Arabidopsis thaliana: one gene and its partner. The protein of the gene in region 1 interacts with the protein of each later gene in a biochemical or structural test. Each region holds a gene or a part of one and is shown on either strand. Other genes may lie near its edges.

Region 1 (3,369 bases):
TTTGTTCCTCAACTGTTTTGTAGGAAAAGGTAAAGTATTATGATATAGCTACTGAGAAGAGGGAAGAATTTCACCGAGCAATGACAGAATATACCAAGAGAATGGTACCACCGTTTTCTTCATTTTTCCTTGTTTTTGCTTAATATTTATTCACATCAGTGGGTTCTTCATTTTTCCTTGTTTTTGCTTAATATTTATTCACATCAGTGTCCCACTGATGCGGTGATAAAACATTAGTCTGAGCTTTTCATTTTACTATTTTGCAGGAATCAGGTGCCCACGATGAATCAGAGACCGACTCAGACTATTCTGAATAGATTACTTTTTAGTTTCTACCACATTAGAAACATTGTTCTAAGCCTTCTAGGATGGGTTTGTATATCGGTGATATTTAAGAGTTTCTGTTTCGTTTTTGAGATCATTCTTTCACTGATACTCATGTTTCTGTGGATTGCATTTGGAGATCAATGAATACTAACCAGTTTCTTGAGTGGTTGCCAAAGGGTTTTACTGTTTCTTTTTATTGTCTCGATTCTGTTTGAAACAAAAATTCCAGACTGCAGAGTGACGAAAAAGCTGATCAAGTTTAGCAAGTACACTTGAGATTAATACAGACAAATTTCCAGGTACATTTTCATTTGATGTCAAATAGAAAGTCACACCCCATAGATGACAGAAAATTCTACACCAGCAATAACTTTCATGTGTTGGTAAGTTCTGTAGGCTGATACAAAAAATAGAATGTAACTCTAACAAGTCGGTCTAGCTATTTTCTGGAGAGAAGCATGAGGCAAGACGAAGCCTGCAAGTGATTGACTTGACCTTCAATCCTACCATGGACTGTCTGAAGCCTATCTTTGTATTCATTGAGTTCATCGAGGGTAAGCGTCTCAATGGACTCCTTGAATCTCTCATCCCCAGCAGATTCAAGCTTCTCCTGACTCTTCTCGCCTCGTTCCTTCTCAGCTTCAACCTCTTGGTTGAGCAAATCGAGACGTTCACTCAGCCTCTTCAGTTTAGGCCTGTAATTACCACTTTTTTCTTCATCGCCACTGTCTGAATCATCATATTCTCTCATGAATCGCTCTGCAACAGAATCAAGATTCGGTTTCCCGTAGGAGAAAGGCTTGCCTCCTGGTGAAAAGACAACGATGCCCAACTCAGCGTTGCAGAGCGTGGCTAACTCGCTCGCCTTCTTGAACAAACCAGTCCTCCGTTTTGAAAAGGTAACCTGTCGTGTGTTCATGTCCTGAACCATCTCCATCTTGATCTTTCTCCGACCCATTTGTTTGCTAAAACGGTACGAATAAGAGAGAACCTCTCGTTTTTTTTTGCTGTGAAAGTGAATATGTTGGTGAAGAAGAAGATTTTGGTGTTGTATGTCTCTGTTTTTAGTAATGGAGATGGAGGTAGAGAATTTTCATTGAACCTAACGAGGGTCATATATAGTAATGGAGGTGGAGAATCACAAGGGTGCAGATTTAGCAAGTTTTTAATTGAAAATCTTGAATTGCCTTATATGGGCGTTGAATAGTTTCTAATTGTGTGTATTCAAACATCCATGAATATTTAAATTTTCATTTTTCTTTTTTCTATTGAATAGTTTCTAATTGTGTATTCAAAACATACATGAATCTTTAACAATTCATATTTTTTCCCTTTATTTCTTAAGAACATAGACAAAAGATGGGATTCATTACCTTGTAAAGAATTAAAAATGGTATTCATAATTGGTCTTTCTTTTTTTTTTTTTTTTTATGTAATTCAAAATTTAGAAGTTTATTTTATATTCTGGTCGTTATTCTCCAAAGTGATTTTTTTTTTCTTCTTTGTAGACCTCTCGTTGATTAATAAGTTATCGACCATGTTATGTAGTTCAAAAGTTTTTGCAAATGGTGTCGTTGAATTAAAATAAAAAGTTATGGACCGTTTCAAACGTTTTTGTTTGCGAATGCCCACTGAGGACAGGAGTCCAAAGGTTTGCGAGTCACTCGAATGACTTATGAGTTCAGTCACATTCAACTTAACCATGTTTTTTTAATTAGAAACCTAAAACAAGAGCGTCGACCATAAGACCTACAAATGCTTTCAAGACTCCGAACTACATTATCAAAAATAAAGTCTTTGACAATTTGCATACCAAACACACCCAAATTGCATGAAAAATTCCGTGCAATTAAATTTGAACAAGAGAAAAATTATGACCAAGACTTTGGATTCCTTATCACCAAAACTCTCAACAATGCAACATCAAAATCCGATTGAAGAAGTCACACCAAAAGTGAAAGACAAAAAAGTTAAAAACATATAAGGATGGTTTGAGATATATTTTAGTTATTTTGAAGAACAAAAACAAACTTGTTTGGACTTTGATGTGGTACGATCAAATCATTTGGTATTATCTCTGTTCTTGGAACCAAACTATGTTGTGTGAACACCGAATTAGGTCTAAGTATGTTCTTGCACATTAGTAAATAGTAAGTGACTGATCCATCAATATCATAAAGCTTCTTAAATATTTCACACACATACAAAGTAATTTACAAGATATGAAATCTGCATCACATTTCCAAGATGCAACAAACCGGATACACACAACTCGATCACAAATTAAACTCACTTTCCGGGGACGAAGTTGGTAGCGAAGGCCCATGCATTGTTGTTGACTGGATCAGCCAAGTGGTCCGCGAGGTTCTCCAACGGTCCCTTTCCGGTGACAATGGCCTGAACGAAGAATCCAAACATAGAGAACATAGCCAACCTTCCGTTCTTGAGCTCCTTCACCTTCAACTCCGCGAAAGCCTCGGGGTCAGTAGCGAGGCCCAATGGGTCGAAGCTCCCACCTGGGTAAAGCAAGTCCTCTGCTTCTCCCAATGGACCATCTCCGGCGACTCTGTAGCCCTCAACAGCTCCCATGAGGATAACTTGAGTAGCCCAAATGGCTAAGATGCTCTGAGCGTGGACCAAGCTCGGGTTGCCCAAGTAGTCCAATCCTCCGTCGCTGAAGATCTGTGAACCAGCCTTGAACCAAACCGCTTCTCCGAACTTCACTCCGTTCCTAGCCAATAGCTCAGGGAAAACGCAGCCTAGGGCTCCGAGCATGGCCCATCTGCTGTGGATAACTTCTAGCTCACGGTTCCTAGCGAAGGTCTCGGGATCGGCGGATAGACCGGCAGTGTCCCACCCGTAATCACCGGGGAACTCTCCAGTGAGGTAGCTCGGAGGCTCACCGGAGAATGGACCCAAGTACTTGACTCGGTCGGATCCGTACCATGGGCTGCCGGATGGACCGGTGGGCTTGGAGGCTTTGCGCATGGTGATTCGGCCGGTTCCAAATACTTCGGAGGCCGCCGGGGATAGCTTAACGGC
Region 2 (4,509 bases), on another chromosome or scaffold:
ATTGACTAATTGTTAATTTAACTTAGTTTTGACTTGGGGAGAAAGAAAGACAAAAGTGATTCAACCATAAACATATAGTTGGAATATTCATTGTTAATTTAAATTTCTGATGGGTTTACAAAAATTGGAAAATCCTCCAAGTTATTTATATACTATGAAAAGAAAAATGAATTATGAGAAGGAAAGTTGGTGTAGAAGAAAAAGCTTTTAGCCTTTAAGGCTTTTTAACCAATAGAAGCAACATATCATGTGTTGACAAAAAAATGAAGCATATCATGTGATAAATGAATGAGGAGGGTACTGATACTACTCACCAAAATTATCTTATAGAACTTCATTAAGAAATTGAAAGAAAAACAATACATTGTTTTTGTTACGATTTGGAAAGTTAGGTTCGGTGCAAAGGCCTACCCCTTCTATGAATCCGAAGGCCTATGATCATGGTGTGATCATCAAATATTCATATAACAAAATGCTTAATTGTTGATATTCTTAGATTTAAGCTATATGAGAACAACTATATGAAAACTTGATTCATCAAAAGGCTTGGATTGCATGAGAGGGTTAAAAGTTCTGCAAGAACGCAACAAACAAACAGAGAAACAGAAACACAGCTCTCTCTATGAACATATGTTACAGACACACATCAAGCTTGTAATTAAAAAAAAAACACAGCTCTTTCTATGTACATATGTTACAGACACACATCAAACTTGTAATTAAAAAAAAAAAACAGCTCTCTCTATGTACATATGTTACAGACACACATCAAGCTTGTAATTAAATAAAACAGAGCTTCCATGGCATCACTATTCGCTTAAACTATAAGTTAGTCTTCATCTTATTTTTCAAGACTATATACACTATGAGTCTATGATGACAATCAGACATAAGAAGAAGAAGTTTTCTGTAAATTACCCGTACAAACAAGACTTGAGCTCAGAGCTCAGTGTTTAAGGTTGAAGCTTGTGGATGGTAGTGAAGCATCTCATTCCACATCATTTCTCTTATCATCTCCTCTCTCAAATCCTCATCTACATCGAGATCGATAGGAACTTGAGCAGGAGGGTTTGCATTCGGGTCATATAGAGGCGCCATGTATGGATGCTGGAGTGCTTCAGAGACACTAATCCTCTTTGACGGATCAAAAACAAGCATTTTCTGCAGAAGGTCGATGGCCAAAACATGAGCGCCCGGGTAAAGTCTGGATAAAGACATCCCAGGTGAGTACGGAAGTGATCTAATGTATCTTTTAGCTTTCGGGTTATCTATGAACTCAAGATCTTCTTCTCTTTGGCTTCCGAGAATGTTGACAATGAGCTTCAGCTGGTTAAGACATTCCGTTCCTTGGAATATCGGTTTCCTACCAAGAAGCTCGGCGAAAATGCAACCAACAGACCAAACATCAATGGATGTTCCATAGTTGTCACAACAGAGGAGAAGCTCTGGGGCTCGGTACCAACGAGTCACAACATATTCAGTCATGAACTGACCCTTGGTGTTGCTCGCACGCGCTAGTCCAAAATCGCATATCTTTAAATCGCAGTTTGCGTTGACAAGAAGGTTACCAGGTTTCAAATCTCGGTGCAGGATATTGGCTGAATGAATATACTTGAGCCCTCGAAGCAACTACACAAAAAGAACAAAGCAAAGCAAAATTTCAGGAGAAAGCAAAGCTAGAACCAACAGTAAATGAACGGGATCAACCACACACCTGGAACAAGAAGTATTGGCAATGATCGTTACTAAGAACTTGAGAAGACTTGATAATCTGGTGGAGATCAGTGTCCATGAGCTCATAAACAAGATAAACATCCTTGAAGCTCATCTTATGAATTGGCATCATGACATCTTTCAAAGCAATGACATTCTCATGTCGAAGATGGCGTAGAAGCTTGAGCTCCCGAAGAGTCCTCAACGCATCGATCCTATTCTCATAAACATTGTGAATCTTCTTGATAGCAACTTTCTCGTTGGTGTCACTGTTAACAGAGGAGCAGACAACACCGTAAGCTCCACGACCAATAGGCTTGATAGGCATGTACTTAGTGTCGATCTCGAACAGAGTTTGCCACATTGAGAAGTAATGCTTCCCTTCATTCCTTATCCCATTAGGAGGATCAACCAAAGTCGCCATTTTTTGTTTTCCCTCTTCATCACAATTCACACACAATCAAGAAATCAAATTTACACACACAATTAACAAATTATTATACTAACTATTTATCAAAACTTTTCAAGTGATAAGTTACTGTAGATTTCTTGTGTAAACAGATTGGTCTGTTAATAATAGTGAAAAGGAAAAAGATCAAACTTTATCGATTTGGTGAAGGAACATAAACGATCGGAATCAATGGGAAAAAAGTTTACGGGATAAAGCGGGAAGGAAATTCTAACCGGTGATAAGTGACCAACGACGTTCCCCGGAGGTTAGATTTGGCCGGAGAGAGAAACCTGTGGAAGTGAGAGAGATTTGGCCAACGCTCGGACAGTTGACCTGCTACTTGTTCGTTACTAGGTAGTCTTTCCTTATATAATTTGGGCTTAAGTTGAGCCCAATTAATATTGGCAAACAGATTCACGTCTCTATCTTCTAAAATCAATTTCGGTATTTTTTAGTAACTGATCACCAAAGTAGCATCATTTGTGAATATGTGTTCTACGAAGATTTATAAAAATTGAAAATGAAGAAAAGTATTTTAAAGTAAAATATATCATAAATGTAAACAATGACACATGACTAAAATATTGCATCACCAATTCACCATCTTCTTTTGCTTTAACTTTACGTTTCCATCACACATCTTTTCATTTTGCTAAAATTAGCATCTAGAGGAAAATAAACTACAAAAGATTTAAAAGTTTTCATTAAGTCAGATTATTAATATAAGAGAGGAGGCCCATGCAGACAGAAAGGGAAAGCCCATAAATCTAAGCAGTGGCAAAAATGTTAGAAACTGTATAAAATGATACTAATAAATTGGTTGGAGTCTATTATAGTAGCAAATAAAAATAACGTTAGGTATTTTTGATTAAATAAAAGATGTTAGGTATCATTATGATCACTCATTCTCTTCAACCAATTATGTCAATACTACAGCTCATCAAAAGCCTTTATGGTAAAGCATGTTTCAGATATTTTCATTATTCATATACACACTACACAACATATAGTATTAAAGAAAATAAATAGTGTATAGATATTTAGAGATTTCCAACTAATTCAACATAACCAATACAGCTTTTAATCATTATCTAAAACCAGACAAAGATTCTTTCCAGTTGGTTTTCCCTGTTCTATTTCCTTACAAACAGTTATTGACTATTGAGCATTGCCTTCACTGTTGAGAAAAATTTGTGTAAATCTTACGCACTGTCAAGCAACTGCATGCATTCTCTAAATAATTACCTGACTCTAGATATAAAAGAACTGAATTAATGTAAAAAAAATATAAGCAAAATATCTAGGAGACAGATATTGACGGGTTACTTCAAGTTTGGACAAAAATAATTAAGAACACAAAAAATGCCGTTGAAACCTTTTCTTTTTGTAGTACAGTTTTTAGTTTTGTTGCTAACGTTCAAATTATTTATTTATTCATCGCTTATCTTGTTTTGTGGATTAGACAACCACGAAAAACAATGCTAGGGTTGTCAGAAACACCAAATATTCGAATTTGCATCCAAAATTCGATACTCATCTTGAACTTTTTTGTTTGTGACATTTTATTAAAAATTTCAATTTTTCCTAAAAGAATTTTACTTTAAATATTTAAAAAGAAGAAGCATGTTCATTTTTCAATATATCTGGTCCCCATATTAAAACAAGCAACAATAATTGACAATCTCTTTCTTTCATCTTCATCTTATTCTTCTTTATCTCTCTCTCTCTCTCAAGACTATTGAGCTTCTTTCTTTTTTCCTGAGTCTTTTAGTCTGATCTCTTACAAGAATGGCGTTCGCAGGAACAACCCAGAAATGCATGGCATGTGACAAAACAGTTTATCTTGTCGACAAGTTAACCGCCGATAACCGGGTCTACCACAAAGCTTGTTTCCGATGTCACCATTGCAAAGGAACTCTCAAGGTTTGATCTTTGATTCTAGTTTGTGATGATTTCTCATTAATCCAGAAGTAGATCTAGTAGATATATATGTAGATGAAGAAGTCCAATCAATTAAGTAGAAATCTTTGAATTTTTGGCTATGGAAACTGATTGGTCTAAAGATTTGACTGTTCTGTTTCTTCTTCTTCTTCTTCTTCTTCTTGATGAGTCAGCTTAGCAATTACAACTCCTTTGAAGGAGTTCTCTACTGCAGACCACATTTCGATCAAAACTTCAAGAGAACTGGAAGTCTTGAGAAAAGCTTCGAAGGTAAATTACCAAAAACAGATCAAAATGTGAAAAGCTTTGTGAGTGGGGATTTCAAATTTGGAATTATCTATCTAAAGTTTGATTCATATATATGTACAGGGACACCAAAGATTGGGAAACCTGATAGGCCTTTG

The links. Proteins that work in one complex are often made in the same cells at the same time.
Region 2: of the proteins of AGL29 (region 1) and MPK1, one has a biochemical effect on the other in vitro, tested with the Arabidopsis thaliana proteins (one large-scale study listed by BioGRID).

The regions. Positions count from the first base shown.
Region 1 is NC_003071.7:14,524,866-14,528,234, reverse strand, and holds AGL29 (AGAMOUS-like 29), read right to left. Parts: upstream 1,565-3,369; 5' UTR 1,286-1,564; coding exon 767-1,285; 3' UTR 501-766; downstream 1-500. Other genes in the region: AT2G34450 (HMG-box (high mobility group) DNA-binding family protein), read left to right, coding at 24-104, 267-317; LHB1B1 (light-harvesting chlorophyll-protein complex II subunit B1), read right to left, coding at 2,617-3,369. UniProt on the Arabidopsis thaliana protein: Probable transcription factor.
Region 2 is NC_003070.9:3,347,207-3,351,715, reverse strand, and holds MPK1 (mitogen-activated protein kinase 1), read right to left. Parts: upstream 2,635-4,509; 5' UTR 2,398-2,634; exon of another isoform or gene 2,152-2,397; 5' UTR 2,138-2,151; coding exon 1,715-2,137; intron 1,630-1,714; coding exon 940-1,629; 3' UTR 536-939; downstream 1-535. Other genes in the region: WLIM1 (GATA type zinc finger transcription factor family protein), read left to right, coding at 3,953-4,087, 4,279-4,375, 4,475-4,509.